2 linked regions of the Callithrix jacchus genome follow. Each later gene encodes a partner of the first gene's protein in a complex. Links are inferred from orthologs where the notes say so. Each region holds a gene or a part of one and is shown on either strand. Other genes may lie near its edges. The genes, in order: CFB and CFD.

Region 1 (4,065 bases):
GTTTTGTGGAGGGGGTCATGAGGCTACCTTGAGGGTGATAGAGAGGACCACTTTGTAGTAAAAGGTTGGACTGCAGGGTCACTGGCAATGGAGGTTAGTGAAAACCTGCTGGGGCTGGAAGGGCCACTTTGTGGTCAAAGGGAAGTCTGTGCAATGATCACTTAAAAAGTTGAAAGATGTGGGATCTCAGTTGCAGACTGGCCTCTGGGGTTAAGATGGCTTGGAAGACCAGGGGAGGTGATAATCTCTTCCCTCTTCATAGACCACAAGTTGAAGTCAGGGACTAACACCAAGAAGGCCCTCCAGGCAGTGTACACCATGATGAGCTGGCCAGACAACCCTCCTGAAGGCTGGAACCGCACCCGCCATGTCATCATCCTCATGACTGATGGTCAGAAGGGACCTCTCTCCTGTCCCAGTCTCCCCTCCTTCTCAGACCAGCATGTGACCCTTAAGCCCACTTGTAACACTATACTCACAATTGGAGCCCCGAATGTGATTCATAGCTGGTTGTTAATCTCTCCTATGACCCTTTAGAATAAATTCTTCCTAAAGCCCTGTTACCAACTATCTCTATCCCTTCCTCAACTTGCTCACCTTGCCATGTGTACCACTGCCTCTAGACAATTTATCTTGCTTATCTCCCATCCTCATGGTCCCGACTCTTCTGCAGGATTGCACAACATGGGTGGGGACCCAGTTACCGTCATTGACGAGATCCGAGACTTGCTATACATTGGCAAGGATCGCAAAAACCCAAGGGAGGATTATCTGGGTGAGTAACCTGCCTAGGACCCAGCACCCTACTTTCTCAGGGATTGGACCCTCATCCTTCCTTTTTCTCCCTCAGATGTCTATGTGTTTGGCGTTGGGCCTTTGGTGGACTCGGTGAACATCAATGCTTTGGCTTCCAAGAAAGACAATGAGCAACACGTGTTCAAAGTCAAGGATATGGAAAACCTGGAAGATGTTTTCTTCCAAATGATTGGTAGGGAGATACAAGAAGGGAATAAAGAAGGCAACTCTCCTCAGGCTCCTCTGAAGTCATTCATTCTTCCTCTACCCCTGAAGCTCTAGTTGCCTGGAAAGGCTTTTCATTCCTCCTTCTCTACCTCCGTGTCACTATTCTTGTTTCCTGGCACTGTTCACTTCTTAACCTTAGAATCACAGAGTTCTGAGCACTTCAGAGATCTTTCTATAGTCCTACATTTGACACATGTGGAAACAGGCCAAAAGAGGTTAAGGGTAGCAAGCCAGCAACAGGGTTGGGCCTGAAAACAGCCAGGCCTCTGCCAGCTTGATCCTAAGTTCTTTTCCTTTTCACTCCCCTACAGCAGTTTTCTCCTAACACAAGGAAACAAATGCCCCTCACCTTTCCTTTTCTCCTTTTGGGCTTCTGCTCCCCATAGACATGCAGGGACTCTTCCCCAAAAGACTGCTGCCATTTGGGAATAAAGTATTCCCAGTTTTCAGCACATTCTCCTTCTCTGCCAGATGAATCCCAGTCCCTGAGTCTTTGTGGCATGGTTTGGGAACACAGGAAGGGTACCGATTACCACAAGCAACCATGGCAGGCCAAGATCTCAGTCACTGTAAGCACAGAATCCTAGTAGTGGAGACTTGGGGGAGGTGAGGTCAAGGTGAAATGGGAGTAGGGGAAGGGCAAAATGGCCGTAAGAGATGGTGGTTTGTGAAAGTTGAGCTTTCCCCCTCTACTGTTCTGTTCCCAGCGCCCTTCGAAGGGACATGAGAACTGTATGGGGGCTGTGGTGTCTGAGTACTTTGTGCTGACAGCAGCGCATTGTTTCACTGTGGATGACAAGGAACACTCGATCAAGGTCAGCGTGGGTAAGGATGCAACTGATGGTCCTGGGCTGCAGCTACGCCCTCCTACAGATCCTACACTCCACCCATCCTCGATGCAGCCCCATCCCTTGCAACCCAGACCAGTCAGAGATGGGGAAGACTTGAAGTCAGGAATGACACGGGGCCAGAGATAGGAAGCTGCCCACAAAGCAGTATCTACTCTACTTCAGGAGGGAAGAGACGGGAGCTGGAGATAGAAAAAATCCTATTTCACCCCAACTACAACATTAATGGGAAAAAAGCAGCAGGAATTCCTGAATTTTATGACTATGACGTTGCCTTGATCAAGCTCAAAACTAAGCTGCAGTATGACCCGACTACCAGGTGAGAGCATCCAGATCCCTGCTGGGAAAGCCTGGCTGGAGGACTGGGGTGAGGGGCAGGCCTGCTTTGCTGTTCCTGACTTTCTCCCTGTCCTTTATAGGCCCATTTGTCTCCCCTGCACCGAGGGAACAACTCGAGCTTTGAGGCTTCCTCCGGCGACCACTTGCCAGCAACAGAGTAAGACATATTCAGGGAGAGGATAAGGATGAGATCCCAAGAGACAAGTGGGGAATGAGAAGGAGGTGCAATAGGAAGAGATGATGCCCGGCCCAGGACCCAGCTCTAGGAAGGGCTTAGGGGACATCTGCTGAGTGACAAAGGCAATGGGGAGATGATAGTGGTGGGGGCAGCTGAAGTGACACAGTCTATTTGTCCAGAGGAAGAGCTGCTCCCTGCACAGGATATCAAAGCTCTGTTTGTATCTGAGGAGGAGAAGAAGCTGACTCGGAAGGAAGTCTACATCAAGAATGGTGATAAGGTAAGACATGGGCACCCTAAGGAGGTACTCTAGGCCCCAGCCCTTCCTAAGCTACATCTGTTCATTATCCTTCTCCATGCTTCCCACCTCCCCTACAGAAAGGCAGCTGTGAGAGAGATGCTCAATACGCTCCAGGCTATGACAAAGTCAAGGACATCTCTGAGGTGGTCACCCCCCGGTTCCTTTGTACTGGAGGAGTGAGTCCCTATGCTGACCCCAATACTTGCAGAGGTGAGAGAAGGCTCTGGGGTTGTGCGGCAAGTTCCCAAGGCCCAGGAGTCCTTTTCCCTACAGCTTCTCCTCTCCCTGCAGGCGATTCTGGCGGCCCCTTGATTGTTCACAAGAGGAGTCGTTTCATTCAAGTGAGTCCTCCCTTTCCTATCTGGGGAGATGCCAAGTGGTCAGCACAGGCCCGAAAGCAGGAAAGCTCAATGTATATTGAGCCCAGGGCCTGCTTCACCTCAGGGCCACATGTCTGGCCTGTGTCTGAACGAACAAGACTGAGCTGGGTCCCTAGTCTGATTCCTTTAGGTCAGCTAAGACACAACCAGGATCAGCCATGCTTCCAGGATTAGAAAGGAGGTCTACTGAATGATCCACGGCACCCCTCTGCCTCTGCAGGTTGGTGTAATCAGTTGGGGAGTAGTGGACGTCTGCAAAAACCACAGGCGGCAAAAGCAGGTACCTGCTCACGCCCGAGACTTTCACATTAACCTCTTCCAAGTGCTGCCCTGGCTGAAGGAGAAACTCCAAGATGAAGATTTGGGTTTTCTATAAGGGGTTTCCTGCTGGACTGAATTAAAACAGCTGCGACAACACCTGTGTTCCAGATCCTTTTGGGGCGATGGAGTGGGGAACAGGCACTGGCCATGTTGTTACAGAGATCAAACCTCACAGCCGTTTTTAAAGGCTTAACCCCAATCCCAAGTGCTGAAAAACCAGAGGCTGAGGGAGATGTGTAAGCTTCCACCTCAGTGTTTTACTGAGACCAGCATTGGGGCATATGAGGCACAAGGAATCCAGCTCTGGTCCCTAGAAGCCATCCACAAGGTTTTCCTTGTAGACATCATCACTGTAGACAATCTGGGTCCTCTTGTCCCGGTGGCAACCCTTAGGGCTGTTCTGGACAGCTAGGGAGGGAGGAGAGGAAGAGTTAAGGTCTAAAGGAGAACACAGATCAGACCCTGAGGCCGACTCTGGACTACCTCACTCCTGGCCGGGGTCTCTGGAAGCCAAGTTTTCACACTGCCCTCTGGTGGCCAGGATTGTCTGTCTCCCTTAGCTCCTTCGTGCCAACCCATGGCCAAGAAGAGTACAAGTGGATATTATGATGAATGTTTTGTTCTTAGAAAAATCCCAAATGTCATTGCTGAGACACGTGAACGATGTTACCCACT
Region 2 (4,472 bases), on another chromosome or scaffold:
TACGCCCCCCTTCCCGCCCCTCCTGCGGGTGGCTCCTCCCAGGCCCGCCTCCTTCCGCCCGAAGGCGCACCTTGCAGGTGTCCCGGCGGTTGCTCTCCGCGCACATCAGGCGCTGGGTGATGGCGCCGTCGTGGTGCGTGCGCCGGTTGCAGGTGGCGCGGTCCATCACCGGCAGGACCACGTGCTGCAGGCGGTCGGGCCGGCGGCCCGCGTGGCTGACTGTGCCCCAGCCGGCCACGTCGCAGAGAGTGCCCGGCGCCACGTCGCGGTCCACGCGTTGCCAGGGCAGGGGGCGCACAGCAGGGCCCAGCACGGCCTCCTCAGACAGCTGGGGGTGGAGGCGGACGTCAGGGTTGGGGCGCGGGGCCGCGAGGCCGGGGAGCCCGGACGGGGGAAGTGGGCATCAGGGCAGGGGCGGGGGTCTCGGTGCAGCGGGAGAGGTCCAGGCTGGATCCTGGGTGGGGTGTGGGTGGGGGTGGGGTGGGTGCGAGGGTCCCCAGTGCAGCCGCAGAAGTCGAGGCTAGACCGAGGTGGGGATGCAGGGGGAGCAGGGGTCTTTGGGGGGGCTTCCAGCGCAGCAGGAGAGATCAAGGCTAGACCCAGGGGGAGGGGGCGGGGGCGGGGCGGGGCGGGGCGGGGCCCCCATGCAGCTGGAGAGGTCAGAGCTGGAGCTGGACCCGGGGTGGGGTGCGGGGGCAGCGGAGTTTTGGGGGACTGCTCCCAGCGCAGCAGGACTCATGGTGGGGATGCAGGGGGAGCGGGGGTTGGGGGCTCCCAGCGCAGCAGGACTCATGGTGGGGATGCAGGGGGAGCGGGGGTTGGGGGCTCCCAGCGCAGCAGGACTCATGGTGGGGATGCAGGGGGAGCGGGGGTTGGGGGCTCCCAGCGCAGCAGGAGAGGTCGAGGCTAGACCCAGGGCGAGGGTGCGGGGATGGGGGGCGGGGTCCCCATGAAGCCGGAGAGCTCGGGCTGGATCCAGGGTGGGGGTGCAGGCGGGGTGGAGTGAGGGTGGGTCGGGGGTCCCAGCAGGGCAGGAGACATCCAGGACAAACCCGGGGCGCGGGTGCAGGCGGGGCCGGGCGGACCTGCAGCAGGAGGAGGTCGTGGTCGATGGAGTCGGGCCGGCTGTCCGGGTGGCGCACTGCGCGGAGCACGTCGTACAGGCGCTTGGAGGGCTCCGGCTGCGACAGGGAATGCGCGCCCAGGAGTACCTGCACCTTCTCGTCGGCCCTGGGGACCGGGCGGGGTCCGCGGTCGGTGCCAGCCGAGCCTCCCCACCTCCCCCCGGGGCTCCTCCCTGCGCGCGCCGCCGACACTCACGCGTCCCCCAGGCAGTGCGCGGCGCTCAGCACCCACTGCTCCGCCACCAGGACGCCGCCGCACCGGTGCTCGCCGTTCACCTGCACCGATGCCATGTAGGGCCGCTCGTGGGCCACGGCCTCGCTGCCGCCCAGGATCCGACCTCGGGGCTGCGCCGCTGTGGGTCGTGGGACGCGTGAGGGCCGCGGGGTCAACTGCTCCCCTCGCCGGATCCCAGCCCTCACCCCACGGCCCGCTCCCAGCAAGAATCTCATCTCAGGGTGTGGTGATTCGTGCCTGTGACCCCAGCATCTGGGGAGGCCGAGGCGGATCACGAGGTCAGCGGTTCGAGACCAGCCTGACCAACACAATGAAACCCCGTCTCTATTAAAAATACAAAACATGGGCCGGGCGCGGTGGCTCACGCCTGTAATCCCAGCACTTTGGGAGGCCGAGGCGGGTGGATCACGAGGTTAAGAGATCGAGACCATCCTGGTCAACATGGTGAAACCCCGTCTCTACTAAAAATACAAAAAATTAGCTGGGCTTGGTGGCGCGTGCCTGTAATTCCAGCTACTCGGGAGGCTGAGGCAGGAGAATTGCCTGAACCCAGGAGGCGGAGGTTGTGGTGAGCCGAGATCGCGCCATTGCACTCCAGCCTGGGTAACAAGAAACTCTGTCTAAACAAAAAATAAATTAATAAATACAAAACATTAGCTGGGCGTGGTGGTGGGTGCCTGTAATCCCAGCTACTCTGGAGGATTAGGCAAGAGAATGGCTTGAACCCGGGAGGCTGAGGTTGCAGTGAGCCCAGATGGTGTCTCTGTAGCGGGCTGGGCAACAGACAGAGCAAGACTCTGTCTCAAAAAAAAAAAAAAAAAATCCATCTGCATCTTGGGGCCCCTCAGCGTCACAGACTCAGATGCTCCGGGGGCCAGAATGCCCGGGAGGACAGAAGCCACAGTGGGCTGGGGACCAGGGACGGATCCCAGTTCTCCACCCTGGGTGCAATGGCTTCCAACTGGACATAACAGAAATAGGGCTGACCCAGCCAGTGCCCTGTGGGTAACCCCCCATCTGGGCACCGAGGAAGGAGAGCTAAGCAGATCCCGGCACCAGTAGCGCCTGAAGAATGTCTTAGTTTATAGCGTTATTAGCTATTTCCTTCATATAATCCTTTACATATATAATCACATATTAGTTCACAGTGGGAACAATTAGTGCCCGAAGAATATCTTATTACTCGGTTACTTCCTTTTATATATATTCTTCATGCACTAATTGTGCCCGGGATCTGCTTAGCTCTCCTTTCTCAGTGCCCAGATTCGGGGTTACCTCCAGTGCCCCGGGCAGCTCAGCCAGCCGCGTGGAAGAACAGTTTTCCACGCAGACACTCAGATTCTCTCTGCAAGAAAAGCTGACCCCAGAAAGCTCCAATTTCCAATCCAAAGTTTCTAGATGGTGAGGAGTGACACTCCCCTCTTCCTGCCTACCTGGTGGGGCTGGAGGACCCTCCGTGTGACCGAGAGGGCCACCTGGCACACCCCTGCCCCTCACCCCAGGCCCAGGACCCCTTACCGCAGGCCACCACTCCTAGGAGGACCAGAACTGCCAGGCGCCCCCAGCTGTGCATGGTGAAGCCGCTGTGGTGGACACACTGACCCAGGCGGGGCCCTGGGGGTGCTTTTATGACGGTGGAGGGGGTGGGAGGCTCCCGGGAGCCCTGACTGTCAGGTGGGCAGTGCTCCAGCTGGAGAAAGGGGGACCCGCCCTCCCAGCCTCCACCCTCCTGGGGGCTGGGTTACCTCCTGCCAGACTCACACCAGAGTCAACAGGTTGCTGGGAGACCCTCCGGCCTCCGTGAGCCTGATGGCCTCTGGCCCTGGTCGGGGGGCAGTCCCTCAGATGGGCATGAAGTAGAGAGGGGGGCTGCACCCGCCCCAGCCCCCCAGCCCCAACTTCAGACCCGGAGTTCCTCCAGCTTGTTTCACAATCCCAGTTGGAAACCAGAATGTAAACAACCCACTTCCTCATCCTCCCGCCCCTCCCTTCTCCTCTTCCTCCTCCAAATTGGAGAGAAGCTCTGATGGGTGTGGGAGGGTCACTTGACACCCTTGTCTCTGTCCCCGCGGCTTCTGGGGCTTGATGCCCGGACAAGTAGAATGTTGGAAAGGACAGCGCAGAGGCAGCTGGGAAGACTGGCTACAAGAGACAAGAAAACCGAGACAAACTGGGTGGAGCCGGAATCGCGAAGGTTGTATAGAAAGTTCAGGGATGGCTGCTTTCAGGTGTGGTGTGATCCAGCTGCCTGAACAATGTCTAGTGTCTGCCTCTGGCTTCTCCTTTCTTCTCTGATGGCCTCTCTTCTCACCAGACTCCCCTGTTATGCTTCCAGGGACCCCACACTCAACCCAGTGGCTCAGTGGGCCCCTCTTAAAATTCCTCATCACTGCAGCCAAGTCTCAAAGTTGGCAGATCCTGGATCAAATGCCCACTGCCAAACTGTTCAGTGAGGGCAGGTTCTGATGAAAAGAATCAGGGCTGGCTGGGCACAGTGGCTCCCACCTCGCAGCCCAGCATGTTGAGAGACCAAGACAGGAGCCCTGGAATTCGAGGCCAGCTTGGGCAACATAGTGAGACCCCATCTCTGCAAAAAAATGAAAATACTTCTTGGAATCTGTGAGGTGGGAGTGGTGGGTCCATGGTGGGGAGGACTTCGGACATCATCCCCAGGGGGAGCAGCACACAGGATTTTCCCCATCCTTCTTTTCTCTCCATCATGGATTATTTACTTATTTATTTTCGAGACGGAATTTTGCTCTCGTTGCCCAGGCTGGAGTGCGACGGCACCATCTCGGCTCACTGCAGCCTCCGCCTCCCGGGTTCAGGCGATTCTCCCATCTCAGCCTCCCGAGTAGCTGGGATTACAGGCGCGCGCCACCGTGCCCAGCTGATTTTTTGTATTTTTGGTAGAGACGGGGTTTCACCATGTTGACCGGGATGGTCTCGATCTCTTGACCTTGTGATCCACCCGCCTCGGCCTCCCAAAGTGCTGGGATGACAGGCGTGAGCCCCCGCGCCCGGCCTTGCTTTTGTTTTACTGCAGATAGGGTCTTGCTCTGGAAGTGCAGGGACTGCGGGCCTGGCCGTGGTCAGCGCCATGTTTCACCTCT

Evidence for each region.
Region 2: the proteins of CFB (region 1) and CFD are in contact, whole or in part, in a crystal structure (PDB 2XWB), measured with the Homo sapiens proteins. The link is inferred for Callithrix jacchus from reciprocal best matches to the Homo sapiens genes CFB and CFD. Residues at the interface, in NP_001701.2 of Homo sapiens: Glu298, Ala301, Ser302, Ala332, Asp333, Ile469, Asp470, Glu471, Ser472, Glu518, Tyr519, Lys585, Asp758, Glu759, Asp760; in NP_001919.2 of Homo sapiens: Asn157, His158, Ala159, Gly160, Arg161, Arg162, Arg182, Thr183, Asp186, Arg200, Val228, Cys229, Gly230, Asn231, Arg232, Lys233.

The regions. Positions count from the first base shown.
Region 1 is NC_133505.1:39,468,331-39,472,395, forward strand, and holds the end of CFB (complement factor B), read left to right. Parts: intron 1-262; coding exon 263-391; intron 392-673; coding exon 674-775; intron 776-850; coding exon 851-988; intron 989-1,494; coding exon 1,495-1,592; intron 1,593-1,730; coding exon 1,731-1,848; intron 1,849-2,036; coding exon 2,037-2,190; intron 2,191-2,290; coding exon 2,291-2,367; intron 2,368-2,567; coding exon 2,568-2,668; intron 2,669-2,766; coding exon 2,767-2,899; intron 2,900-2,980; coding exon 2,981-3,030; intron 3,031-3,289; coding exon 3,290-3,445; 3' UTR 3,446-3,486; downstream 3,487-4,065. Other genes in the region: NELFE (negative elongation factor E), read right to left, coding at 3,701-3,798.
Region 2 is NC_133523.1:804,942-809,413, reverse strand, and holds the start of CFD (complement factor D), read right to left. Parts: upstream 2,959-4,472; 5' UTR 2,933-2,958; coding exon 2,878-2,932; intron 1,478-2,877; coding exon 1,321-1,477; intron 1,231-1,320; coding exon 1,053-1,230; intron 329-1,052; coding exon 71-328; intron 1-70.